7 linked regions of the Canis lupus familiaris genome follow. The protein of the gene in region 1 purifies or fractionates together with the protein of each later gene. This does not show direct contact. Links are inferred from orthologs where the notes say so. Each region holds a gene or a part of one and is shown in the gene's direction. Other genes may lie near its edges.

Region 1 (3,500 bases):
AAAATTGGTTTAATAATAAAAATAAATTAGCTTAGTCCTTTTCAGATTTTAACTTTGTTTCCTTCTGTTCCCTTTGCCACAACCCCATCTCACACAACTTTAAGAGTACACCTTCTTTTTTTCTTGTTTTCCTTTTTTTGTCTTCAGTTCTCTTGTTTGTAGTTTGGGGAGAAGAAATGTCCCACTTGAAAGGTACTTGGTAATTAAGTGTTATTAAGCTCACTTTGACTTACCAACATTGTATTTTGTACATTGTTCTTTTAAATTTGATTAGGAATTTATATAATTAAATTTTAGTTGCTGCTTCTTCCTGTTTTTTCTTTTCTTTTACTTCAAAATTAATTTTAACATTTTATAATTAAGTTTAACTTACTGTACTCCAGATATTCAGGTGTTCCCTTGAGGCCTTTCTTTCTATTTTAAGCAGATTTAAACAATTGTTTCTTCAGAAGAGTTTAGATTCTGAGACCTTAAAATTCATATTTGCAAAATCAAGATAAATGCATTTTTTGTTTATTTATTGTTACAGGTTCGAATGCAAGCACTGAAATGCTTCTCAGTTTTAGCTTTTGAAAACCCCCAGGTATCGATGACCCTGGTAAATGGTAGGCTGGAACTTTCAGTGGCACCTACATGATTTAATTTATGAACTTTGTAGATTTAAAGAATTCTTTAATTCTTGTTTCTTTTATTTTTAGTTTTGGTTGATGGAGAATTGTTACCACAAATTTTTGTGAAGATGTTACAGAGGGATAAGCCTATTGAGATGCAGCTGACATCAGCAAAATGGTAAAAGTCAAGACAATGTGGGAAGAACAACTGTGCTTTATCAATATGTTAGAGTATTTTTGGACAGCCTAATCAGCTCACTGCCAATCCTCATCTTTGGGATTTTGGAATTTGCAAGTCATGGGTTGTCTCACATTTTCTTAAATGGGCATGAGTTTTTTACTCAGTGTACTATTAGTAGCATTCAGAGCATCAGCACTCATATAACAGCTAAGGCTATCCACAGAAAATTACCTTATTACATTCTCAATGTACTCTCTTTGTGTTTCAGTTGAAATAATATAGAATTAGATTTAACTAACAAATTTATGCAAAGAATTGAGAAAATATAAAGATACAAAAATATGGAGTGAGAATTAGTTGAAGCTGATAACCAACGCATAATTTCAGAGAATATGGCTTCCTCGTGTTTAGAAAAAACAAAACATAAAATTCTCATAGAGATATGACCGTTTATAAGATAAATTCTTATTAATACAAGTCCTAGCTCATATGAACATTCAGGTCATATGAATACATTGATAGGTTGAGCACCTGTTGTGTAAGGTTCTTTGCTAAATTTATGGTTCCAATATTTAAGAATTTGTGCCTCTCTAGTATTTTGGCAAGAATGGGGAATTTTCAGTGAATTACTCATGCACAATGAATTTTTTTATATGAGTATATTGTATACTAGTTGGCTTTTTGTCTTCAAAACCTTTGTTAAAAAAAAAAAAAACTTTGTTAAGTAAGATAAATGCTCTTGTGGAATCAGTTTTTTAAAAATGTGGTAACAAGTCTTAAGGTGATAACAGCTATAAACAATTCAGTCCTCTATAATCTAAGTAAAAAATTTATTGATTTTTTTAAAATAGCTTTCTGTAGAAGCCAGAATATGGAGTGTTTTAGATGTACTACCACCCTGCTCCCCTCCCCCTGCCCGCCCAGCTTACTAAAGAAATCTAATCCAAAAAGGAAATTCGTTAAGTTTCTAAAGTGCTCAGTGTTCAGTAGCTACTTAGTTCAAAGCCAGATATAATTGTGAAGGCAAATTGTTATTCAGTTCAGTACAACCAAATCATTGACCGGTTGTCAAAGCCACTGCTGGCAAACTCTGAAGAATCATTAATTTCTTATGGCTATCTCTAAGTGTTAAATGTTAGATGCTTCTTCTGTGATACTTATATTACTCTTATTGGAGTTAGAATATCCCAGTTTAGCTTGATATAATCTTAGATACTTTGTGAACTTTATATTTTTATATTTTATATTTTAACTTTATATTTTTAACTTTTTCTCCCTTTTTATTATGGAAACTTTCTAACACAGAAACGTGTAGAAAAAAGTGTAAGGGCCTCCAATGTGCCTGGCACATTGGCTTCAGTTTATCCACTCATTAAGCCTTTATTTTTAAAAAACAATTTTGTATGCATTTCTTAAAAATATCTGACTTTATTGTCTGTATATATCCATTAGTTGCTTTTGAGTAGTAAATTGGCAGAACCTCATATAAGGTAATGTGAAAAACCTCCCACAAAATGAAGAGTAGCTGTCTTTTTTTGCCCCATAAAATCCTAAAGGCAAGGAATATTTCTTTTAAAGCTTTAAAACACAAGCAAAAACTTACTTTTTGCCATCTTATTCCAGTTTAACTTACATGTGTAGAGCTGGAGCAATTCGGACAGATGACAACTGTATTGTATTAAAGGTGAGCTAATTCTCTCTGAACACACGTAAAAGTCACTAAGTCGTAAGTGTTGAATATAAATCTTGGTATTCCCATTTCTTTTTTTTCTATTTCTTTTTATACATTTACAACTATGGTATGTGTGCATAGCATAAAATGATATTTTATTAACACATTAATTGGTTTTAGATGTGTTTTAAGAGTGAAAGTGAAATAGTTTTTTCCTTGTCACACCTTTTTCATTTTTATGGAAATTAGGAAGATATAGACGTTGTAAAAATATGTAAAATTCAAGTGAAATATAAAATATATTTTAATCCTTGAGTTTCATTAAGTTTGCAACATAGTTTTATAGGAAAGCAGTTCACTAGCTCTGTAGACAAAGACTTTATATCACCCTCATGGCAGATAATCAAAAGACATAATGAGAAAGAAAAAGATAATAACACATGAAAGCCATCAATATTTATTGTGACATGTCAGAAGCAACTAGAACATAGAGAAACTCAGGTAAGAGACTGGCCTAAAAATTATAAGACCTGAATTTCACCACTGACTGGCTTGGTAACTTTGGGCACATCCCTTACTCTTCTAAAACAAAATAAATGTAAATACATTGACTATATATCATTTTATGAACCTGAGATCTCTCATTATCAGTGTACAAAATGAACCCAAGGATAAAAGAACATTTAAGACGAATACTTGCTAATAGTCTTTGGTGAAGCAAGTCAATTAATTTAATGAGATCTGAGGACCCTTCCCCCCTTAGTAAGCAACATTGTGTAGAGTTCTAAGGATTCCATGCAAGTAACCTTGGTTTATTTACTCAACTGCTGTACCCCTCCTCTTCTCCCTAATTGGTAAACTAGGTTAATGGCATCTTCTTCACGTACTAGTTGTGAGCATTACACTCAACAATCCATGGATTTGTGGTATTAGTAAATGTTAGTAACTGTTCAAAAAAAATAAGAATAATAGGTTTTTCCTCTTGGAAGCCTAGGGTTGTATTATAAAGCCTGCACTAGCCTGATAGAAAATCAAT
Region 2 (4,094 bases), on another chromosome or scaffold:
GATCCGCTGCCGACCACAATCGGCAGGGCTGTGCCCCCAAACGTGCGGGGCTCTCCGCAACGCCTTGCGGACGGCGAGAGGGCGCTGCCGCCCCGCCCCGCCCCGCCCCGCCCCGGGGAGCCCCGCGAGGCGCATCCCGGACCCTCCAGGACGGAAGGGGCGCGGTGGCGGCCCGAGCCGAGCGGGCTGGGGGCGGGGGCCCGCCCCGCCGTGGGCCCGCCCGGCACAGGCCTCGTTCGCGCTTACCGTTCTGGGAGCGGATCGCCTCCCCGGTGCTGCGGTCTCCGAACACGGACAAAGGCCCCTCCATCTTGGCGGCGGGGTGCACGTCGAGGTTCACGCTGACCGCGGGCAACCAGCGTCTGGATCCCAGGCCCGGCGGCGGCCACTGCAGCGCGGCGGCGGCGGCTACGGCGTGGAACGGGGCCGAGCGAGGCCGCGGGGGCTGCTGGGAACACCGCTGCCGCGGCCGGGCCGCGGGGCAGGGCGGGAAGGAAAGAAAGGGCGGGGGGAGCGAGAGTGCGAAGGAGCCGGAAGTGAGGGGGCGGGAGAAGGCGGGAGCAGCACTTTCGCCCAATTAGAGAGCGAATGAGCAGGGCGCGAAGGCAGGAGAACGGAAGTCAGGATCGCGCACTGGAGGAGGAAGGAGGTGCACGGTTGAGGCTTCTCTTCCCCTCCTGCGGGAACGGGTTGCGCGTGCGCGCTTGCACCTTCTAGTGCTTTCTAGAAAAAGTGGACGGTGGGGCGGAGCTTGCAGTTGGGGTGTGACGAGAGGGCGGGCCTCTCCCGGTTCGGCTGCACTCCTGAGCGAGTTCGGCAGGTTCCCTAAGGGTCTTCAGAGAGAACGTGGCGAGTCGGGGCTGACTTCCGAGCCCACGAGCATACGCTTGGGGGCCTGAACCTGGGTGGGACGGGCCAAGTGCTTTCTACGAGGAAAATGGCCACCACGGTTTCTGGAGAGAAACTGCATCTTGCGCTGCGCCGGTTCCTCCCGTTGCCCAGCGGGGCCGTGTGTGGATCTGACCGCGGTCGGCAGACGCTTTGCGACCGCAGGACCAAATAAGGCAACGTGAAGTTACGGGTGCCTCGCGCCTGCCGGTCCGGCGAGACGCCGCCCGCGACCTAGCGAGCTGCGCCCCGCCCCCCGCGCGGTGCTGCGAGGTGGTTGGCGGGCTCCAGCGTAGCGTGCGCCTCTGCGTGGGCAGTGATTGGAGGAGCCGAGGTGACTGATCGCTCCGTCGGCCACTCGGCGACCCGGCTCGCCAGTTCCGGGCGGAGGCGTCGGTGACCCCGGGGAACCCCGGGGAACCAGTTCTCCCTGAGTCAACATGGCTGCGGCCGGCGAGCGGCTGGGACGCCGGTGAGGGGAGGACGTGAGGCTTTTCCGAGGCGTAGCCCGCGATCCCTCAGCGATGGCGCTCCGCTCGCGGTTCTGGGAGTGCCTGTCGGTTTGCAGAAACCCCGGGAATTCCCATTTCTCTCAGACGACTCCTCGGGGGCTGCACAGTAAGTGTGCACATGCAAGTCGTGTTTTGTAGTCCACCCCGCCGAGCAGCTTACGGGCCGACAGCGCTGTGACGACAGTACTAGGACCTGTGATGACTGCGTCCCGTGACCAGACTTCCCTCCCTCCCTCCCTCCCGGGGAGCGAGGATTCGGGGAGTGGACGGGGATAGCGGTTGGGCCTTATTCCCGTTTTGTCCGTGTGTGTCAGTTTTTAAGATACGCGTGGTGGTTCCCGTTCTTAGGGTGTGGGGTCGCAGCGCTGTCAACGAGTGCCGAGCCCGCGGCGAAGCCTGAAGTGGACCCTGTGGAAAACGCAGCCGTCGCCCCAGAGTTCACCAACCGGAACCCCCGCAACCTGGAGCTCCTAGGTGTGGCCAGGAAAGAGCGGGGTTGGGGGACAACCTGGCCCTCCCGGGAGTTCTGGCACAGGTAACTGCGGCGGCCGGTTAGCCGACCGACGGAGCAGTGCACGCTGCCCTGCAAAGCGTTCCTCAGCTCAGTCCACAGGCCGGATACTTGTGGCGATTCTCTTCTCGGGAAACCGCCGTTTGGTGGTGGAGGAGGGTTCAGTGGCCGGGGGCGGGGACACAAACCAACAATAATGGAAGTAAATAAATGAATGTCAGGGAGAAAATTTAAAGAGGATGATGTGAGGTTGGGGAGCCTGGGTGCCTGCTAAGGCCCCTTCTGAAAGATAAGGTAACCTGCCGAGAAGAGCACTCCCAGCAGAAGAAACGGCTGGGGTGGGTGGGAATGGGAATCCTTTCCTAAGGACTATATAAAATCGTAACAGGAAGTTAGAGTCATAACTATGATATATTCATTCCACAAACATTAGGCCTATGGCACTTCATAGGCATTGTGCTAGATGCAGGAGATGCAAAGAAAGTAGATTTCATCCTTGTTAGCAAAAATTTTAGGTTTTGTTTTGGAAGATGGAATAGGGATAATAAAATTTTACGATTGCTGTGATGCGTTTTTACTTAGTGTTCATAGGAGGAGTCAAAGAAAGGGAGTAGGTAGGTCACTTTTGAAATAATTTGGATCTTAAGTCTAAAATTCTTTTGAAACCCAACCGTTTCAACTTAATATTTGGACCATCTAAATAGAGATGTATTTTCCCACTTTTTTAATTTCCTATCTGCTATATTCACATTATCATCAGTATGGAATTTTGGCATATTATAGTGGGAAGTGACCTCAGAGAAGATGAGTCCTGTGCCTTTGTTGGACAAAGGTTCAACAAATGGTTTAACATACAGATCAGCAAACGATGGCCAATGGGCCAAAGTTGGCTTGCAAACTAAAAATTTCTTTTTTAAAGTGTGAAAACAAATTTCAAAAAATAATATTTTGTGACGTGAAAATTATATAAAATTCAGATTTCATTATCCACAAAGAAATTTTTTTTTTAATTTTTATTTATTTATGATAGTCAGAGAGAGAGAGAGGCAGAGACACAAGCAGAGGGAGAAGCAGGCTCCATGCACCGGGAGCCCGACATGGGATTTGATCCTGGGTCCCCAGGATCGCGCCCCAGGCCAAAGGCAGGCGCTAAACCGCTGCACCACCCAGGGTTCCCCACAAAGAAAATTTTATTGTAACATACCACCACTCATTCTCACCTGGCTGTTCTAGTGTTAACTGTGGCTGAGTTGAGCAGTTGCAAGAGACCCTACGGCTTATAAAGCTTAAAGTATTTACTATCTGAGACTTTAGGGAAAAGGATTGTTGACCCTTGATTAAGAAATTGTGATTTTTCACTAGGGCTTCCAGCAAAACCAGGTGTAGAACCCACATTTCTCAATCTAGTGCTTTTTCTGCTGTTTCACACTAAGAATCCTAGTGTGATCTCTAATTTTAGTGTTTTCTTTAACGTGAGCTTAATTTTTAAACGTGTAATATAAACATATGCTATAAAATCCAAAGGGGGGATAGTTTGTGTATCCTTTTAGAGAGAATTTGTGTATACCGGTATAAACTTATAGTTTTAAATTACAAATCTTAGCACACCATGTACACTGTTATTCATCTGAATCCTCTCCGCTCCCTTCAAAATACATCTTGGAAATCCTTTATGGTGTTTAGGAACATTAATTCTGGGGCCAAAACCCTGGACTGAAGTCCTAGCTCCATTACTTACCATTAGTTGTGATCTTGTTAAAGTTTCTAAACCTTTCTGTGTCAGTTTCTGTGGCCTTAAAAAAAAAAAAAAAAGATTATGGGCAGCCCTGATGGCTCAGCGGTTTAGCACCGCCTTCAGCCCAGGGCCTGATCCTGGAGATGCAGGATTGAGTCCTGCATTGGGCTTCTTGCATGGAGCCTGCTTCTCCCTCTGTGTCTCTGCCTCTCTCTCTTTCTGTGTCTCTCATGAATAAATAAAGAAAATCTTTAAAAAAAGAGAGATTATTTTGAAACATGAGCTATCCCAGTAAACAAGACCGTGCCTGACATAGTAGGCACTCAATAAATGGTCAGCAGCATTCTTTCTGGTAACTATAGAATACCACTGCATGGATGTTTTAGTTAGCTAGCTCCATACTGATGATTACCTTAGTGATCCAAACCATGTTGCAATGAATTGCGTA
Region 3 (3,070 bases), on another chromosome or scaffold:
CTGAGACTCTTCCCTAGGGCACATGGAAGGATGAGAAGAGAATTCAAACTCTCCTCTACCTGATTGCCCTGTGGCCTTGTCCCACAGAAGCAGCCCCGAGACTCGGCCTCTACACTGGACTTGAGGGAAAACCGGGTTTGCCTGAGGGCAACTCAGCGCCCAGTCATCTGGTGGTGGTGGGGACCTGGGAGCTGCGAGCCTCAGCCTGCTCCCCACCCTGCCTCTGAGCACCCCCCCTCACCCTGACCTGTACCCGATTGCCTTGTAGAGATCCAGGTGATGATGGGCAGTCTGGTGTACCTGCGGCTGGGCTTGGAGAAGTCACCCTACTGCCATCTCCTGGACAATAGCCATTGGGCAGAGATCTGTGAGACCTTCACCCGGGACGCTTGCTCCCTGCTGGGGCTTTCTGTAGAGTCCCCCCTCAGCGTCAGGTACCGGCAGTCCTGTGGGGGCGGCACGAGTGGGAAGGCTTTGAGGGAAAGTTTGCCAAGGTCCTTTCTTGTGCCAGGGATGGCATTTGGTGCTTTCAGACCTATATGGGCTCTCTTAGTCATTCTCCCTGGTAGGAGTTACCTGATTTTACAGTTGGAGAAACTGAGGTTAGGAAGAGTCATGGCCTGATGTCACTGCAAGGTCAGCGGTGACCTTTTGTCAGGTCTTTTAAATGAGGTCTCCTTCTTGCCTGCACCTCACCCCTGAATTATCCCAACACCCTCTGCAGCCTGGCTGCCTTTTTTCAACCTTCTCTCTCAAACATCTTCCCTTTGGGGAGATTTGAAAGTGCCTGAATAACACATATCAGGACCTTTCCCTTGGACTCCTTTAATGTTCTCATGATTTCACCAGGTCCTAGGAATTACAGGTAGTTATCCTCATTTTACCGAGGACAAAACAGACTCAAGGCATGAGTGAACTTGCCCAGAGCCCCACAGGGAAGAAAGGCTACAAAGACCTGGTCCCAGAATCCCATGCAGCAGTGTCACAGTGCCTTTTATTTAGACTGACTGTGGACTCTCCTGCCCAACCCCTTGGGGGGGGCGGATTTTGGTTAAAAAACAGTGTTTCCCAGCAGGAACACCAGGGACAACCCATGATGGTTCCTGGGTGCCCAATTTCCCCAAGCATCATAGGTATTTATTTAGCACCTGAGGCACCAGCCAGTCGACTCCCCGCCCCTGCCTGAGTCATTGTGAGATTTGAATCTGCCCCCGTGTCTAAGTGCCCTGATGGAAGATAAGCAGTTGTAGAGGTGCCTTATGACGGCAGAGTGGGGCAGACAGGCAGGCTGGGGCCCTTTCAAGCTGATCACTGTCCCCATCATACCAGCGACATTCCAGTGGTTTGGAGGAGCAGATAGCTCTCCCCTAGATCTTCCTTTTATCTTTCCCATAGGTCCTCAAACTCTGGGGTGCATTAGTGACTCTAGACTTAGACACACCTAACTACACATGTGGCACTTTATGAGTGACCAGAGAGATTTTCAAGGAGCAGTCTGACCATGTGCCACCTCAGAGCCCTGTCCTAAGACACAGGCCCACGACTGGGTGCTGGTGCCTTGGGCGTGTCTGCTGGGTCCTTGGTCAGGGGCACTGCAGCTGCTGCTCTTTGTTCTGCAGCTTTGCCTCTGGCTGTGTGGCGCTGCCTGTGCTGATGAACATCAAAGCTGTGATTGAGCAGAGGCAGTGCACGGGGGTCTGGAGTCACAAGGACGAGTTACCGGTGAGGCCCAGCAGGGGGAGGTGTGGGCAGAAGACCCTGGGAAGGATAGCTGCTGCCCCTGCAGGGACTCACCCCTTTGCTGGCTTCCTCAGATTGAGATCGAACTCGGCATGAAGTGCTGGTACCACTCAGTGTTCGCATGCCCCATCCTCAGGCAGCAGACGTCAGATTCCAACCCTCCCATCAAGCTCATATGTGGCCACGTTATCTCGCGGGATGCACTCAACAAGCTCATTAATGGAGGAAAGTAAGTTCCCCATGCTCTGCTCCCTCTTGACTGGGCTCTCCAGCTGGCTGGCCCCTGAGACATTTTTTGTTCTCCTCCCTTTGCAGGCTGAAGTGTCCCTACTGTCCCATGGAGCAGAACCCAGCAGATGGGAAACGCATCATATTCTGATACCTGCTCGGGATGAACTTTGTCAGAGGGGTTTCCCACCTATGAGCTGTGGTCTGTCTTGGTGGGCGTGGCTGACTTCAGATTGTGGTTTGCTTCAGAGCAAATGACTGAGTGCCACCATGGGTAGAGGCCAAGAAAGGAGACAAACCAGTCTGTGATGGGCAGCTGGCTCCTTGGCTGGAAGGGTGGGAGACATGGGCCTCTGCACTCCTGGTGTTTCCTGTTTATACCTGCCAGTGACTTGGTTGCGACCGACAAGAAGCAGAGGACTGGGCCAACAACGCAGACGTCCTTTCAGTCACATGGCTAGCCAGGTGGCTTATGGTTAACACCCCTTCTATTGTACAGCTTCACAACTGTATGTATCTGTTCCCCGCTGTAAATAGTCCGGGTTCCAACTGAATGCCACTGTTTTATAACTGAGCAAATATATTCACAGGCCTTCTCTGTATTTCACCTTCCTTTAGCCTCACTGACAAGGAACTACTGCAGGGCCCCCACACCCAGGGAGAACCCCACTTGCATCTCAGACTGGGCAGAGGCCCGGGGATGTCACGCCCTGAGCAAGAGGTTCTTACACAAACACGTATCAAATCTTGCCCCCTCCCTTCTAGGAGGCAGTGCCAGGGGACTTAGGAAGATGAACAGACTTGCCCTATGGGGCTCACAGCTTGTGAAGGAATTTGAACTGGATCTGACCCTCAATCTCAAGCTCTTTGTGGTTTACTGCAGGGTGCCTGGAGCTTGGTTGCTTGCTGCTTGTGCCAGCTGAGCCCTGTGCTGAGCCCTGGGGAGCAGGGAGGCACCTGAAGTCTGGAGTGCTTAAAGGGACTGGGTTACCAGGGTCATTCTGCTCAGCAGGAGAGCTGGCCTGGGGTCTGTCTCTAGCTTCATATACCTACTTCTGATTTGCTGTGTGCATGGCTAAAATTGCTTCCAGGAGTTCCCCAG
Region 4 (4,277 bases), on another chromosome or scaffold:
GATGGGATTCTAGCCAGCCTGTCAGCACCTGACTCAGAACAGAAAACTGTTAAACTGCACGAGTAGGTAAATAAAGAATAAAGAGATATAAGGGGAAAGAACTAAGAGCAAACAGAAAAGATATCAACTAGGACGGAGAAGGTAGGGCTGAAAATTGTGAAAAATCAAGGGCCCCCAAGCCTGACCACCTACCCAGCTGGAGACCGATACCTGTGCTCACCCACCTGAAGCGCAGGAGCCCCTCCCGGCCATTGGTGGCCTCTTCCTCAGGGAATAGCAGCAGAGGGGTGGGGGGAAGCCTCGTGGAAGCACAGAATCTCTTGAGTGACTCCACCAACTCCCCCCGCCCATCCATCTCCATGAAGCCCCGAGACCAGCACACAAAACTTGGGGGACTATTGAGTAGAGGCTGGGAATAGAGAAGAGAGAAAGCAAGAAAAGAATATTGGGAAGTGAGAAAAACTGACATCTAGGGTACAGAAGCGGGATTGGGGGTAAGCCTCAGTATTTCCCAGTGGTCCCCAAGGGAAACCCGGGCGGGCTAAGGGGAGCCTCCAGCTGGGCCCCAGGGAACCGCCCCGTAGAGCTCTCGGCTTTGCCCCCCACTCACGGTGCTACAGCTGGTGAGCAAGTTGACTATGTTATGGTCGAAAGGTGTCACGTGGTTGGAAATGAGGACCCTGACGCGGTGATCCCGGAGTCCGGAGTTCTCCTGCCGGGCCACGAGCCCCAGCACCGCACACATGGTCCGCACCACGAACCTGGGGACGCGGGCAGTGGTGACTCCACGGCCTCCGGCCGGGCCCAGCCCAGCCCTCCCCGGGACCCCCAGGCCGTTACCTGCGAAGGACACTGTCCGGTAGAGCGCAGCTGACCAGGAAGACGTGGATCCCAAGAAAGAGGCGCAGGACAAGGAGGCAGAACCCGACGGGAGCATAGAGCAGCAGCGCGAGGAGCAGGAAGCCGTCACCCGGGAGCCTGGGGGCGAAAGGCGGGGTGATCGGGCGCCGGAGGCCGAGTGCACGCGGGAGCCGGCCTCTTCCCGCCAGGGCTCTTACCGGTGAGAGTCGAAGAGCCGCTCCGGCCCCAGCGCCGGGGAAGGATCCATCGCGGGGGCTTTAGAGCTCTCCGGCCGCCGCCGCCATCTTCGCGCCCGGCCGCAGGGGCTCCTGGGAAGGCGGAGTCTTCGGGCATCCGCCCAGGGTGCGGGCACCCGAAATCTTGAGGCGCCCCGGAAGGGCTAGCGGTCCCAGCATGCCTCGCGGCCCTTGGGCCACCTAGGAACTCGCGTCCCGCGGGGACCACAATTCCCGGCATTCCTGGGGCGGGGGCGGAGTCGGCCTCCCGGAATCCTGGGTCCCGGCGTGCACTTCTGGAGGACTTCAGGTCCCGGCGTGCCCCGCGTCCCTCCGTCCGCCACCTCGCGTCCAGGGCGCCGCCTCTGTGTAGGGCGGGCGAGGAGGCAGTCGAGGCGGAGCTGATGGCTGCACTGAGGGCGGGGCGGGGTGCAGCCTGGAACCTCCGGGGATGGCGGGCTTTGGGGGGGGTTCACTCGGGGAAGGGACCCCTGCTGACCCCTGACCTCCGGGCCTTGCTGACGTCAGGAATTCCTGACCCCCGGGCCCGAGTGACTTATGGGACCCCCAGCCTCCGGGCCCGGTGGTCTGTGGGGGTCCCTGAACCACGGACGTGTCTGACGTCGAGGACTTCGGATTCCCGAGCATGGCTGGCTGTAGGGACCCCAGATCCCAGGACCCAGGAGGGCTCAGGGACCCCTGGAACCCGTCCGCGTATATGGCTGGCGGTGGCGCTGGGCGCTGGGGGGGCAGTGCTGTTGTTACTGTGGGGCGGGGGTCGGGGTCCCCCAGCGGTCCTCGCCTCGGTCCTTGGCTCGCCGCCCAGCTCTCCCCGGAGCCAGTACAACTTCATCGCAGACGTGGTGGAGAAGACAGCACCTGCCGTGGTTTATATCGAGATCTTGGGCCGGTAACGGTGGGGAAGGCAGGAGGCACCAAGCCGCGGGCTAGAGGGCGGAGGAGCCGGGGTGTGAGCCTCCCTGCATCCTTGCTTCTCACCCCCACCCCTCCAGGCACCCTTTCTCCGGCCGCGAAGTCCCTATCTCGAATGGCTCAGGATTCGTGGTGGCTGCCGACGGGCTCATCGTAACCAACGCTCATGTGGTGGCAGATCGGCGCCGGGTCCGTGTGAGGCTGCTCAGCGGCGACACATATGAGGCCGTGGTCACAGCTGTGGATCCTGTGGCAGACATTGCGACGCTAAGGATTCAGACTAAGGTGGGGGCTGAGCAGGCTGGGTCTGGTTGGGGCTGTGAATTTGCTCACATCTTCAGATGACAGGTCTCTTATACCCATTCTCTCTCAGGAGCCTCTCCCCACACTACCCCTGGGACGCTCAGCTGATGTCCGGCAAGGGGAGTTTGTTGTTGCCATGGGAAGTCCCTTTGCACTGCAGAACACGATCACTTCTGGCATTGTCAGCTCTGCTCAGCGTCCAGCCAGAGACCTGGGCCTCCCCCAAACCAATGTGGAATACATCCAGACTGATGCAGCTATTGATGTGCGTTCTGATATAAGAGAAATGACAAACTAGGTTGGGGGTTGGGGGAAAGGCTGTGTGGTACAGGCACCAACTGTTGATAGATGGCGGATGAGCCTGTATACAGAGGTTGGGCTGCAAATATGTGGCCACTCAGGTTGGGCTGGGAAAGGAGAGAATTTGGAAAAAGTGCCTACATCCTGGTCATGCCTCCAGGCATAGAGTTCCTGGATCTCTTCCATATTTTCTCCTTGTCCTGCAGTTTGGAAACTCTGGAGGTCCACTGGTTAACCTGGTGAGTGGGACATCCTTCTTTCCAAGAATCCCTGCCCCAGGTCAGTGTGAGAATGGGTGTGCTTCCTCTAATTCAACGATGTTTGGTCAAGTTTCTAAGCAGCCTCCTGTTGGCTATCTCCCAAAATCCAACCAGGTCTCCCCAGCCTGCTCCCTCATTCTCCCTGCTACTCTTGTTCAGGTATCCCCTCCTCCTACTATGTTTCTGGGCTAGGGATTAGTGGGCTCTGTTCCTGCAGGATGGGGAGGTGATTGGAGTGAATACCATGAAGGTCACAGCTGGAATCTCCTTTGCCATCCCTTCTGATCGCCTTCGAGAGTTTCTGCATCGTGGGGAAAAGAAGAGTGAGCCTGGCTTAGGGGGGAAGAAATTACTTTGAGTGGTGGGAAGGGCATTCATTGTGCTTTACTGGAGAGGGGTTGTCTACTGGGAGGAAAGGGAGGGGAAGGAAGGATGTAACTGGGTGGGGCTCATTTGTCCCTCTATCACAGATTCCTGGTTTGGAATCAGTGGGTCCCAGCGCCGCTACATTGGAGTGATGATGCTGACCCTGACTCCCAGGTACGAGCTTTGGGGGTAGTGACCTGTAGGACCACCAGTATATTCAGTGGTGGGCAAGTGGCACTTCTGTTGGGCTTTGTTCTCAGTTTTATCTTTATCTAAGATAAGTTGCCCCACACTAGGAGCTATCAGAAGAGCTATTCTCATGATCTTGACTTTCTCACTCCAATCCCTCTTGTACACCTGCTACCAGATTGATTTCATCCTGTTACTGCTTTGGTTTAAAAACTTCAATCCATTAGCCCGGTGCTTAGAGGCCATTTTCCATTTGTCTCCAATTTAACCTTTTAGATCTGGCTTCTTACAAGAATATATTCTGTTCCAGCTGACCTGGATTTCCTACTCCTATGGTTTTATTTATATTGCTCTTGTTTTATATAGTTAAATACCAGAACCATTTTATGCTCAGCTTATGTTCTACTCTCTCAAAGTTTCTCTTAGAATTCTAGAATGACATTAGTGCTATTGATTTAATATGATGTATCACTTGGAATGAGTTACCTTTTATACACATGTCCCACTTCCTAACTTTGAAAAGGCAGAAAGTGAATTGCCTTTGTATCCGGAGTATCTAGTGCATGCCCTTGTCCATGCAGTTGTCGGTGTGTTGATGAGAGATTTGAGGTGAACCCAAGATGGGGAGAGTGCCTTGGTGCTGTTAACAGAGTGATCTGTGTCCTTTTAGCATCCTTGCTGAACTACAGCTTCGAGAACCAAGCTTTCCTGATGTTCAGCATGGTGTACTCATCCATAAGGTCATCCTGGACTCCCCTGCACATCGGTGAGGAAGAGACTGCATTGTGAGGTGGGGATGGGTGACGTATGCATGTGCCCTTGAACCGGGCTGTCTATCCCCTCCTTTCTC
Region 5 (3,500 bases), on another chromosome or scaffold:
CACTTCTTCCGACAAGGAATGCTGGACGTAGCTGAAGAGCTCTGCCAGGTAACAGTATGTCTGCTACCAGTGTGCCAGTGTGTGAGAGGATGAAATAAACGAGGGGACTCCTTGGAGTTTTTGAATCTTCTTCTAGCCATAGATAGATTTTTAATATTTTAAGTTTCAGGACTAACCTCATTTTACTAGGAAGTCTTTTTCTTCTTTTCTTTTCTTTTCTTTTCTTTTCTTTTCTTTTCTTTTCTTTTCTTTTCTTTTTTTCTTTTCTTTTCTTTTCTTTCTTTTCTTTTCTTTTCTTTTCTTTTCTTTTCTTTTCTAATTAGTAAAGACTACGATCCTAGAACTTCTTATTTGAGTTGCTTTTTCCTTATTCCTGCCCCATCACATTGGTCCCAGGTCATCAAGAGGTCAAAAGTGATATGACCTTCCCCATTTCCTCTTTTAATAGGGAAGGTAGGATAGCAGAAAAGAAGAATCTGGCCCAACTTGTAGCATTTTGTTTATCAAATGAGTTTAAAGCTAAAATTTACTTCAGATGAGCAGCTTTTGTCTTTTATTGCTAGTAGACATGAGCTTAGGGATCTCAGAATAGTTCACCAGTATCACCTAGTCAGAATGGTGGCAGCTACCATGTATTGAGTCCACAAGCCAACTCCTGCCATTATTCTTCACTGCAATCCTGTGAGGTAAAAATTGCTTCCATTCTACAGATAAGGAATCTGAGGTCTGGAGAAGTGGCTTGCCCGAGGCCATGCAGGTTCCTTAGCAAAGGAACTAGGATTCAGTCCCAAATTCATGTCCTCAAACTTAGTCTAAGCCACCATGTGCTATTGTATTTTCTGTTTAGAAAAATGAAGGATTATAAAGATGAAATAGTTTTTTTTTTTTTTTTTTTTTTTTTTTTTTTTTTTTTTTTTTTTTTTTTTTTTTTATGATAGGCACACAGTGAGAGAGAGAGAGGCAGAGACACAGGCAGAGGGAGAAGCAGGCTCCATGCACCGGGAGCCTGACGTGGGATTCGATCCCGGGTCTCCAGGATCGCGCCCTGGGCCAAAGGCAGGCGCTAAACCTCTGCGCCACCCAGGGATCCCGATGAAATAGTTTAAAGCCAGACTGTAAACAAAACCTCTAATCTAAACCTATTTTATTATTTTTTTTAAAGATTTTATTTTTAAGTAATCTCTATACCCAGTGTGGGACTTGAACTCACAACCCCAGGATCAAGAGTTGCATGCTCTACCGACTGAGCTACCCAGGCACCACTTCTATTTTAAATAATTCAGAAAAACAATAACACAGGTCTTTCTCTGTATGGGAATTTTGTTTATGTCTATTAAATCCTATATTGTTTAGGATTAAGCTGATTTATAAGTACAAAGACATAAAATACCAGTGGCTTAAAAAAATGAAGTTTATTTCTCTTGCACAGAAATAGGAGGTAGTAAGCCATCCACAGCATATATTGTAGCTGTGCTCCATGAGCTTTTAGGGACCTACCCTCCTTGTAGCTCTGCTGTTACAACTTTTGATATGCCAGGAAGGGATAAAGAGTACATGTTTATGTTTTACTGACCAGAACTTACATCTCTGCAAAGTCATACGAAGCTTTATTCCATACATTGATGTACTCTGTATGGAATACATAAGGGTTCTACTACTACTGGAAAGAATGATAGTAGGGCTCAGTCTTCAGTCTGTACCATAGAAATATATGGTAAAAAAATTATTTTTAATGGCTTGCGCCATATTTTATAATTTAGAATATGTTTTTATTATATCTTTTTTTTTTTAATTTTTATTTATTTATGATAGTCACAGAGAGAGAGAGAGGCAGAGACACAGTCAGAGGGAGAAGCAGGCTCCATGCACCGGGAGCCCGATGTGGGATTCGATCCCGGGTCTCCAGGATCGCGCCCTGGGCCAAAGGCAGGCGCCAAACCGCTGCGCCACCCAGGGATCCCTTATTATATCTTTTAACCTGATTACTGCTAACAGAAGTACTTTCTATTTTTTCAGGAATCTGGTCTTTCTGTAGACCCAAGTCAGAAAGAACCATTTGTGGAGTTAAATCGAATATTAGAAGCATTAAAAGTCAGAGTTCTGAGACCTGCTCTGGAGTAAGTTTCTGTGTTTGTTTTCTTCCAAATACTTGGGGAGAAACTCTCTGTAAGAAAACTTAATTAAAAAAACACATTGAGATTTTGATATATATCCGTACATCTATACATCTCACCTAGGATGGACTTCAGAGAAAGCAAGGAAAAATTATTTTCTTCCTTTTAATTAAGTAAGAATGGGGGATGTGCAAATAGGAGAAAATGGTCCGAGCTTTCTTTGCTTATCAGTTGATCTGAATTCCCAAGATAGAAAAAGGGTTTCCTGTATCCAAGCCATTCCACTACTATAGACTAGCATTGTAACTGAAGTACTATTGTTTAGATGGTCTGAGTTTGATATTTGAACTTCCATAATGTGTGGGATTCTGTGCTAGCATTCTAAAAAACAACTTAATTGGTTATTGGAACTAAGTGGTATGCATAAAGACCAAAAATACTGTTACAAAGGAGTTCTGTGCTAATTATCACTGTAACATGTAATGATTCATTTTGAACTGGTCATTGATATGAACTGTCTTAAATTACTGAGTAAGCTGTGATAAATAATACCCTCGAGCAGGATCAGCAAAGTTTTTTGTAAAGGGCCAGAGAGTAAATATTTTAGGTTTTGCGAGCCACATGAGATCTCTGTCACATATTCTTTGATTTATTCCCAACTGTTTAAAAATGTGTAAAAAAAAAAAAATCTTGGCCATCTGGTGTACAAAATGGACAACAAGCCATATTTGGACCTTGGCCATAATTTGCCAACCCCTGTCCTAGAATTTTTTTTTTTTTTCATGAGAGATACAGAGAGGCAGAGACATAGGCAGAGGGAAAAGCAGGCTCCCTGCAGAGAGCCCGGTGCAAGACTCCATCCCTGGACCCCAGGATCATGCCCTGAGCCAAAGGCAGATGCTAAACCACTGAGCCATTCAGGCATCTCTGTCCTAGAATTCTTTAATGTGAGGATTACCAGGTTGTTGGAAAGAAGGAAATGAAGGAGGGCTATAAAATAAAGAGAAGAAACTGCTGAGGTTCTAGGCATAGAATTCTGGTATTTAAAAATTGGAAGTATTTGAGATCATTGTTTTCAGAAAAAAAAAATTGGGAAGATTCTTGTTGATTTTTATGAAATGCACATTTTTTTTCTTCCATTAACACACTTAATTCTTCATAGCTTAGTTTTCTATTTCTGATCATTTATCAGTTCTTTTAAAATTTGCATAGTTCTAAGACCAGCTCAGATGATCATGTAGAGATAGATTTCTGTGTAAGTTTGTAAATGACAAATTCCACTATAAATTATAAATATGAGGCAGGTAGGTACTGTATCTTTAAAAATAAACGTCAGAGGTGCCTGGGTGGCTTAGTCAGTTATGTGTCTGCTTTTGGTTAAGTACC
Region 6 (4,222 bases), on another chromosome or scaffold:
TTTTATTTATTTATTCATGATAGTCACACAGAGAGAGAGAGAGAGGCAGAGACACAGGCAGAGGGAGAAGCAGGCTCCATGCAGGGAGCCCAACATGGGATTCGATTCCGGGTCTCCAGGATCGCGCCCCAGGCCAAAGGCAGGCGCCAAACCGCTGCGCCACCCAGGGATCCCTCCCAACAATATTTTTGAAGTGGGTTGTATCATCCCCATGTTTGAGATACAGAAGCAAAGGCCCTGAACTTAAGAGACTTCTTCTTTTTTTTTTTAAGCTTTTATTTATTTATTCATGAGAGACAGAGAGAGAGAGAGGCAGAGACACAGGCAGAGGGAGAAGCAGGCTCCTCGCAGGGAGCCTGATGTGAGACACGATCCTGGATCCCAGGACCACCACCTGGGCCGAAGGCAGGTGCCCAACTGCTGAGCCACCCAGGCATCCCGAGACTTCTGAATTCCCAAAGCTGGAAAGATATTTAGCCAAAATTTTTGTTTTAGTATGTACACTTGTGGCTTTACGAGCTAATAGAGCTTGTTGTCATCTTTTGGAGTGCCCAGAGACTGCAACCTGAATAGACAGCAATTCGACAATCATCTTTGCCATAAGCTAATGGGCGAAGAGGCAGTTTATCTCTGTGGCTAAGAGCGCAGGTTCAGGAGTCTCACGAGGCTGGGATCAAATCCTAGCTCTACCACTTTTTTTTGTTAGCATTTTTAATAAATGATTTTATTTATTTATTCATAAGAGAAACACAGAGAAAGGCAGAGAGCTAGACAGACGGAGAAACAGGCTCCCCGCGCGGAACCCAACGTAGGACTGATCCCAAGACTCCGGGACCACGTCCCTAGCGGAAGGCAAACGCTCAACCACTGAGCTCCCCAGGAGTCCCCTTAGCTCTACCGCTTATAAACGTGTAAAACACATGATCTCTCCAGGCTTCTATTCATTCGTAAAACGGAAATATTACTACCTCATAGAGTTGTGAGGTTAAATGTGCCATATATAAAGTAGTTGGCACATAATATATGCTCAATACATGCAAGCTGTCTCTTACTAATGATAAAGTGCGCCAGCCCTTTTGCTAGCATCTAGTGTTCTCAGGGGGCTAAGTCAGTCCAGATTCCATTTCTGCACCACCGATCCTGAGGGGCTGAAGCCCTGGACCAATGGGCAGAGGCATTTCACTTTCTGGAAGTTCTCAAACCCTCCTCTCCGCCCTCAGTCGGGTCAGGGCCTACCTCGACGTAGTCGCGAAGCTGGAGCACCGCGGCTTGGGGGAGGCCATGACCCTCAGACAGTCGGGCAGCCAGCACCCGCGGCCCGGGAAGCTGCGGTAGTGTACAGCCCGTCGCTATGGCGACCAGGCCCCAGCATCCTAGCGGCGGGGGCGGAGTTGAGTCTGTGCCACGCCCACTCGGCCAGAGCCCACAAGCTGGGAGCAAAGCCAATAAGCAAAGGTGGCCTCGGACCCGGGGACAGGGTCCCCTCAGTCAGTTACTACCAGTGATTTGACCCTGGCTATCGGAACTGAGGCGGGGGGATAAACAGAGGCCATGGGGGCGGGCGGTGAACTGAGGACCCGGAGCCGCGTCGCCAGCGGGAATTGTAGTTTTTGGTTTCCCAAAGTCTCCGCTGAACAGGCTTATGACTGAGCAAATTTGTACTACATCTCCCAAAGTTCCTTACGAGCACTGGTTGTCCCGCCTCTGGAGAGCTCTGCATTGTGGGATATATAGTCCGAAATGTGGCGAAGCAGGGCAGAGTCCAAAGAGAGGTGTAGGACTTGGACTCGGTTTCCCTGCGGCCTCGGTAGGCTCGCGGGCCATTGGCTGAGCGGGGAGATCTGGTCTCGCTCCTCCCCGCCCCCAGTGACACAATAGCAGCTCCCTCCAAGATGGCGGCGGCGACGGCGGACCCGGGAGCTGGGAGCCCGCAAGCTGGAGATTCCTCTGGCGGGGGCGCTGGGGGCGGGCTGCAGTCCCCGGGGGAGCAGGAGCTGAGCCGGCGCCTTCAGCGCCTGTACCCCGCGGTCAACCAGCATGAGACGCCGCTGCCGCGCTCCTGGAGCCCCAAGGACAAGTACAACTACATCGGCCTCTCCCAGGGCAACCTCCGCGTCCACTACAAAGGTATCGGCCAGTTTGGCCCTGGGGGTGGGGGGAAGACCGGAGCACCTGCCGGGCGGCTGTGCTGCCCGGCCCCTGTCCCATCACGTCCCTTCCCCGATTTGGGTGCCCCGGGTTAGGCCTTAGCCCCTGCGGGGTGTCCAAGGTGTTGAAGCTGACCAGGCCGAGGGTCGACTGCCTGGACTGCTGTGCCCCGAGACACCCGATGTCAGGAGGACTGCAACAGGTGTCCAAACCCAGTGCTAGGCTGGACCTTCCTCCTGAGGGCCTTGCTTATCCTGGGATAGCTCCAATTCCAGCTGGGCCTTTCATCACTGCTTAGTTTGGGGAGTGTCTGAAGAAAGGGGTGGTCACAACCCCTCCATTAGCCAGAGGCCCATGGGCTTGCTCACCTGCCAGATATCAGAGAGAGCTTGTGGTTCTTTACTCAAGTTGAGAGGGGTGATCTTCCAGAGCTGCCTCCCTCTCCCCTGATCTAGGTGGGCTCTCTGTGTTTTGGAGAGACTGCCAGCAGCGCTTGGGAATCTCTCACATTCATCCACATTGCCTGCACCCTGACTTAGTTTGTATGGGAGAAATTGTCTCTGGCAGGGCTGCTGTTCACAGTAAGAGGTGAGCCAAAGGTGGGAGGTTTATGTGTTTGCTCAGTTGTTATCTGGTTATTCCTCCAACAATGTCAGGGCTTCCTCTGGCCATGAAGCAGTGAAGTTGCCATGGAGTAGAAAAGAACAGGACTTCTATTTGCATTTCTTTCTGCTGAAATTTCTTACTTGCTTTCTCCTATTAGGTCATGGCAAAAATCACAAAGATGCTGCCTCAGTGCGTGCCACCCACCCCATACCTGCTGCCTGTGGCATTTATTACTTTGAGGTGAAGATTGTCAGCAAAGGAAGAGATGGGTAAGCCCCTTCTTACCACCTTCTTTCCCTTGGCACTGAGCTATTCCCTATGGTCAGAGTTTGAGGTCTTCTGGCTGACACTTGTGACTGATGTGAGTTGCTAAGATGCATGGGTCTGGGCTACAGAGGGTTGAATAGTGAGTGGGCTGTCTCTATGACCTGACCGTGGGCATGGCCTAGTCTAAGCAGCAGCCCTTGATGGCAAGTAGGTTCATTGAGGGTAGAGGAGGGGACTTCCTATTCAGTGATTATGTAATGAGATACCTCATAGGTCAGGGAAACAAGTAACAAGTTTACATTAACAATTCAGGGTCCATGGATCCCTGGGTGGCGCAGCGGTTTGGCGCCTGTCTTTGGCCCAGGGCGCAATCCTGGAGACCCGGGATCGAATCCCACATCGGGCTCCCAGTGCATGGAGCCTGCTTCTCCCTCTGTCTGTGTCTCTGCCTCTCTCTCTCTCTCTTTCTCTCTCTCTCTCTCTGTGACTATCATAAATAAATAAATTTAAAAAAAAATTCAGGGTCCAGAGTGGGATTTCCCCTGCTGTTATATGACATTTGTGACTTCCCTTCTTTCACACTCTTGTTGCATTCAGGGTTCTTTTTTATGGCATTTAGTCACATAGAGGCCCCTGTAGGCTTCAAAGGGATAGTAGAGTCTTCACAGCATTTATCACAGCTGTGGCAGCCACTAGCCTGTCATGTCAGGGTAAATAACATGCACATGGTCAGAATCAGATGACCTTGCTGCTCATAAACTTGTTTTTCAGTCCAGGGACTCAAACACCAGTTGGACCAGCTTTAGGAAGGTCCTCATTAAAGTTAGCATTAGGGAGGCTCCCTATTTTAGGGTGATCTAAGCAGACACCTGGAAGTCAGAGGGGTAGATTTCGCATTTTTCTTTTTTTTCCTTTTTCTCCTAGTCTTCCCTTTTTCCTATTGATTGTGACAAAGCAGGTGTTTAACTTATATAATAACATGATTTCAGCTGTCTTGGAAAGGCTTTCCTCATCAGACCTTAGGTCTGATGTGGGAAGTTTGCCAACTAGACCAGTGACCTTCGTGCCAACCCTGAATATGTGTTCTTGAGCATTCAGAATACTTCCTCTCTCCTAGGGACTGTCCCTTTTGTGGTACATGCAAAACGCCCAGCCAAGGGGTTTGTGTTGGGGGAGGACTGATAGAGTCAGAGCTGTGCCT
Region 7 (4,293 bases), on another chromosome or scaffold:
ATTGTTACTGAAGCATAAACAGGTTTAAGCGGACTGTTACAGAAGACTGGCCCCGCACGTCCAAACACCACCATCACCCCCTGACTAGCTGCTGTATTCACTGGCTCCACAGCCTTCCTGCTTCCAGTCTTCCCCCTAAACTACTGTACCCCTCAGCCAGCCTGGCTCATGGAAAAGCTGCTCTATTCAAATTCTCCAACCGCCTCCCTTTGCTAAGTATAGAAATCAACGTTCTTCTAAGAGCCTACTAACCACCACCCTTGGCTCCCACATCTCTAATCTTCAGCCCTGTTCCTGTCCTGAACTCCTGTCTGGTCACAGCGGACAATCCCACTTTTCCCAACATCCCAGCCCAGGGCCCTGTGGCCAGCTCTTCCCCCAGATGCCCACATGGTGCTCTCTCCACTCCTTACACTGTTCAAGTCCATGAGTCAATGGGGCAGAGCCTGCCCACCACCTTCCTTAGGCCCCTAGCCTCCTAATGCTGCTCTCCTGGTTTCCCCCACTGCCTTTATCACTCATCACGGGCCGTTCTGATTTGCACTCCCGGGTACTTTCAGTGGGAGTGCGGGCGGCGGGGTGGTTGCTAGGTAACAAGGGCGGCGGCCCCCGAGTGTCCTCCCGCCCCGAGCGCCCTCCAGCCTTCAGGTCCTCCCGCCCTAAGCGCCCAGCAGGAGCGAGCGGAGGGCAGAGCGGCCGCGGGCCCATCACCGCAGCCCGGTTCACGGCCCGACCCGCGGGGAAGGCGGCGGCGGCCCGAGCGCAGGCAGTGCGGGGGAGACGGGCCCCGTTGGCACAGGGGCGGTGTCCAGGGAGGGAGTAGGGCGGCCCGCGCCCCTCGCCCCTCGCCCCTCGCCCGCCGTCCCGCGGGTGCGGAGCCGTTTACCGGGAGCCGCAGCGAGTTCCGCAGGACCCTTCGGGCCGCCCCTCCGCGAGGGGGCGGCGCGTGGGTTCGGGGGCCAGGGGCAGGGCCGCGGCCGGGCGTTGGGGCCGGCGCCCGGCCTGAGCCGAGGGCGGCCAGCGGGGAGCAAGACGCCGCAGCGCGGCCGCCAGCACAAAGCTTCCCGCGAAACTGACGTAGCGCGGGGCGGCCGCGCAAGCGCCGCCCTCGGCCGCGCCCCTCCCCCGCGCTCCCACTGCTCCTCAGTGCGCCGGCGTACTTCCCCTCCTCCCATTGGCCACGGCGCGGCGGCGCGCGCAGGCCGGCGCGGGGCGCACCCCGCGATTGGCGGGTCGGCGGCGGGCGGGGGTGTGTCCGCGTCGCACCCCGCCTCCGGCTCCGCTCGCGGTGGTGCGCGCGGCGGCGGCGGCGGCGGCGGTGGCGGCGTCGGCGGCGGTGGCGCGTGGCAGGTCCGGCGGGCCCGAGGCGGCGGCGGCCCGAGCCCGGCCCAGCCTCGTCCCGCCTGGCCCCGACCCCGGCCCGCCGGCCCGGCCCACCCGGCGCGCCGCGGCGCCGCCCCGGCCCGGCCCCGGCCCCGGTCCCGGTCCCGGCCCGGCGCCTCCCGAGGGAGCGGCGCCGCCGGCCGAGCGCAGGCCTGGCCATGACCGACTTCAAATTGGGTATCGTGCGGCTCGGCCGGGTGGCCGGGAAGGTGAGCGGCGCGGGGGCCGCGGGGCCGCGGGGCCGCGGGGCCGGGACGCTGGGCTGGGGCCGTGGGGTCGGGGGCTGCGGAGCCGGGCGGGCGGGCGGGCGGGCGAAGGGTCCCCGCGGGCAGCACAGCGCCCTTCCGAGGCGGCAGGACGGTGTGCGTGCGTGTCGGCGCCCGCCAGCCCGTCGTGGAGCCTCGCGCGGGGTTCACGCTGCCGGCGCTGGCCGAGTGCGGACGGGCCTCGATGGGCCTCCCGGAGCAGGGCCTCCCTCTGCTTCTCTCCCTTACCTGGCCCCGCCCTCCGCGGGTTCGAGGCCGGGGCTTCCTGGCACCTGTGGGCATTGAGGCTTGGCTGTTTCCAGGAGCCGGCCGGCCGTGCAGCTGCTCCAGCCACGGACCTTACCCTGGATGGGAACCCTGTTCCCATCCCCAGCGGCGGCAGCTCCTGGTGGGAGACAGGAGCAGAGGCAGTCAGATGAAGGTAAAACCGACTTAGATCTTAGAAGGAGGCTCCCCGAGCAAGAATGAGACTAGTCCGTTTGGGGGGCCGTTTCCTGCCTTTCCTGCAAGAGGAATGTGGCTTTTTACCTGGGGAAGGGTGGGCTCCCCATCGGCTCTGAGACCTTTTCTTATTCAGTGACTGGTTGCATTCAGATCATCCTTTAAAACTTATTTGGAACATTTCAGAAGAAAGCTAAACAGTTCAGTGAGCACCTGTGTACTGCCACCCATCCTAATAAATAAATGTTTTCGAGGCCTTCTGTATGCCTTGTCTCACTCCAGGGCCCCTCCTCTGTTCCGAGGAAGCCCCAGTCTCAAATGAGGGTCAGCAGCACCTGAAACACAGCTTAGAGGTTAGCCAGTCCAGGGGCACTTAGGGCTTAGGCGCGTATGGATGGGAAGTGAAGCCTGATTCCTACTCCTCTGGGACAGTCTGGAGTGGGAAATGACCACCTGCCTTGGGGGTAGGGTACTTGGTGCCCCTCACCTGCTAGCCTCATTTAACCTGAAGGGGCGGTTTCTGTTACTAAAACTTTACTGTGACCCTGAATGTAACATTGCGAAACGTGGTTAATTTCCAGACGAAGTACACACTGATAGATGAGCAAGATATCCCGCTGGTGGAGGGCTACTCCTTTGAGGTAAGGATGGCTGTTTCTCTGTGGGCCTGCTTTCAGCCAATGCTTGAGGAGGGTCAGGAGGAATGGGTTTTACCCTGTGTTGTTGGTTCTCTCCCACTTTCACCCTGGTGCAAGTAGATCACATTGTGTCGTGTTTGTGATGATGTTCAGTTGGATAAGCCCTGGCTCCCTAGGGGACTGTCCAAGTGCCACCTCATGTTTCTTCTGGCCTTGGCCCAGCGTTCCTCCATCCCCCATCTTCCTGAGCTCCCTTGCCTTCCACTCTTCTCTGTGGGATGAGCTTCTGTTCACCTGCCCATCCTCACCTACCGGCTCCTCCACTTCAGAAATCCTTGAGGGCTCTGTGGACCCACTATGCTTTATCTCAGCCCTTCGTGTTTTTACAGAAAGGGTGGCCCTTGAACAAGAGTTTGAACTGCACAGGTTAACTTAGATGTGGGGGGGGTTTTGATAAACATAGTCTATTACTGTAAATATATTTCATCATGACTTCTTTGAAAACGTTTTCTTTAAGAATATAGCATACGATATGTCTCACATACAAAGTTTGTGTTAATCACTTGTTTGCCTCAGTAAGGTTTCTGGTCCAGAGCAAGCTATCAGTGAAGTCTCCGGAAGTTAAAAGTCCTATGCGGATTTTCACCTGTGTGGGGGCTCTGTACCTTACCCTACGTGTTCAGGGCTTAGCTATTAGTTACTTGTTCAAGGGTTTGTTTTTCTCACTGAATTGTGGGCATTTTCTAAGAGTAGGAAAACTTGTCTCTTTATGTCTACAGTGTTTTGCAGAGTGGTTTGTGGAGTATGTTGGGATACAGGGCTGGCTTCTCATGTCTGGGAGCCTCTGCAAAGCCCGGGGTCCCAGAAAGAGGCCTCATATATTTGCTCTAACTTGTTTGTTTCACTTCACTTCTTTAATAAAGTTTGAAAATGTAGCTGAGACCTGAAGGCTTTTTAACAGACCATTTCTCTCTCAGGCCCGGATGGAAGTAGATGCAGATGGAAATGGTGCTAAGATATTCGCATATGCCTTTGACAAAAACCGAGGAAGAGGGTCAGGAAGGCTCCTTCACGAGCTGCTGTGGTAGGTGTTTATGAGCTGCTTGTTCCTCATTTGGGTACTGCATGCAGCAACCTGTCCCTGTTGACAGAGGATGTGTTATCGGAGTCATGCTCCCCCCACCACCCCTCTTGTTACCTTTGAATCATTGCCGCTAACCCAGAGGAATGGCTCATTTGTATAGCGTACCACTAATGGAGCAGTCTAAAAGTGCACTTTCTGCTCAGGCACTTGTACCGGGCATGGCTCTCTCTCTGGGGTAGGGAGGACTCTGCTCCGTCCACTGTGTTCTTGCTGAGCCTGTTGGTGGGATGTGAGGAATGGCCTGCCTCCTCGTGGCGTCCACGGTGGAACTGCTGCTTGGAACTGCTCAGATGGGGTGTTCTCTAGGCTGTGTGTTTGATGGTTGGGGGCTCCATCCTTGGCTTTTTGCAGCCCAGCTCTCAAATCAAGGGGCTGAACTGTTAGCATGGTCCATCTTGTTTGACCACAGACTGACTGACAT

The links.
Region 2: the proteins of ARMC8 (region 1) and MRPL18 purify together in Homo sapiens (affinity purification with mass spectrometry; 3 studies listed by BioGRID and IntAct, with this or other methods). This does not show direct contact. The link is inferred for Canis lupus familiaris from reciprocal best matches to the Homo sapiens genes ARMC8 and MRPL18.
Region 3: the proteins of ARMC8 (region 1) and RMND5B purify together in Homo sapiens (affinity purification with mass spectrometry; 4 studies listed by BioGRID and IntAct, with this or other methods). This does not show direct contact. The link is inferred for Canis lupus familiaris from reciprocal best matches to the Homo sapiens genes ARMC8 and RMND5B.
Region 4: the proteins of ARMC8 (region 1) and HTRA2 purify together in Homo sapiens (affinity purification with mass spectrometry; 5 studies listed by BioGRID and IntAct, with this or other methods). This does not show direct contact. The link is inferred for Canis lupus familiaris from reciprocal best matches to the Homo sapiens genes ARMC8 and HTRA2.
Region 5: the proteins of ARMC8 (region 1) and RMND5A purify together in Homo sapiens (affinity purification with mass spectrometry; 5 studies listed by BioGRID and IntAct, counting the BioPlex papers as one, with this or other methods). This does not show direct contact. The link is inferred for Canis lupus familiaris from reciprocal best matches to the Homo sapiens genes ARMC8 and RMND5A.
Region 6: the proteins of ARMC8 (region 1) and RANBP10 purify together in Homo sapiens (affinity purification with mass spectrometry; 5 studies listed by BioGRID and IntAct, with this or other methods). This does not show direct contact. The link is inferred for Canis lupus familiaris from reciprocal best matches to the Homo sapiens genes ARMC8 and RANBP10.
Region 7: the proteins of ARMC8 (region 1) and ZMYND19 purify together in Homo sapiens (affinity purification with mass spectrometry; 4 studies listed by BioGRID and IntAct, with this or other methods). This does not show direct contact. The link is inferred for Canis lupus familiaris from reciprocal best matches to the Homo sapiens genes ARMC8 and ZMYND19.

Annotation. Positions count from the first base shown.
Region 1 is NC_049244.1:34,998,916-35,002,415, forward strand, and holds part of ARMC8 (armadillo repeat-containing protein 8), read left to right. Parts: intron 1-529; coding exon 530-605; intron 606-698; coding exon 699-789; intron 790-2,415; coding exon 2,416-2,476; intron 2,477-3,500. UniProt on the Homo sapiens protein: Component of the CTLH E3 ubiquitin-protein ligase complex that selectively accepts ubiquitin from UBE2H and mediates ubiquitination and subsequent proteasomal degradation of the transcription factor HBP1.
Region 2 is NC_049222.1:49,590,863-49,594,956, forward strand, and holds the start of MRPL18 (39S ribosomal protein L18, mitochondrial), read left to right. Parts: upstream 1-1,294; 5' UTR 1,295-1,412; coding exon 1,413-1,506; intron 1,507-1,748; coding exon 1,749-1,935; intron 1,936-4,094. Other genes in the region: TCP1 (T-complex protein 1 subunit alpha), read right to left, coding at 247-310. UniProt on the Homo sapiens protein: Together with thiosulfate sulfurtransferase (TST), acts as a mitochondrial import factor for the cytosolic 5S rRNA.
Region 3 is NC_049232.1:3,659,357-3,662,426, reverse strand, and holds the end of RMND5B (E3 ubiquitin-protein transferase RMND5B), read left to right. Parts: intron 1-268; coding exon 269-434; intron 435-1,619; coding exon 1,620-1,722; intron 1,723-1,814; coding exon 1,815-1,969; intron 1,970-2,055; coding exon 2,056-2,119; 3' UTR 2,120-2,570; downstream 2,571-3,070. UniProt on the Homo sapiens protein: Core component of the CTLH E3 ubiquitin-protein ligase complex that selectively accepts ubiquitin from UBE2H and mediates ubiquitination and subsequent proteasomal degradation of the transcription factor HBP1.
Region 4 is NC_049238.1:49,111,623-49,115,899, reverse strand, and holds the start of HTRA2 (serine protease HTRA2, mitochondrial), read left to right. Parts: upstream 1-1,477; 5' UTR 1,478-1,480; coding exon 1,481-1,986; intron 1,987-2,089; coding exon 2,090-2,294; intron 2,295-2,382; coding exon 2,383-2,577; intron 2,578-2,818; coding exon 2,819-2,851; intron 2,852-3,089; coding exon 3,090-3,195; intron 3,196-3,342; coding exon 3,343-3,412; intron 3,413-4,097; coding exon 4,098-4,193; intron 4,194-4,277.
Region 5 is NC_049238.1:38,714,441-38,717,940, reverse strand, and holds part of RMND5A (E3 ubiquitin-protein transferase RMND5A), read left to right. Parts: coding exon 1-48; intron 49-2,016; coding exon 2,017-2,117; intron 2,118-3,500.
Region 6 is NC_049226.1:82,245,889-82,250,110, forward strand, and holds the start of RANBP10 (ran-binding protein 10), read left to right. Parts: upstream 1-1,422; 5' UTR 1,423-1,684; coding exon of another isoform or gene 1,685-1,824; 5' UTR 1,825-1,892; coding exon 1,893-2,127; intron 2,128-2,911; coding exon 2,912-3,023; intron 3,024-4,222. Other genes in the region: TSNAXIP1 (translin-associated factor X-interacting protein 1), read right to left, coding at 1,685-1,824. UniProt on the Homo sapiens protein: May act as an adapter protein to couple membrane receptors to intracellular signaling pathways.
Region 7 is NC_049230.1:48,177,324-48,181,616, forward strand, and holds the start of ZMYND19 (zinc finger MYND domain-containing protein 19), read left to right. Parts: upstream 1-1,493; 5' UTR 1,494-1,541; coding exon 1,542-1,592; intron 1,593-2,671; coding exon 2,672-2,731; intron 2,732-3,705; coding exon 3,706-3,812; intron 3,813-4,293. UniProt on the Homo sapiens protein: May be involved as a regulatory molecule in GPR24/MCH-R1 signaling.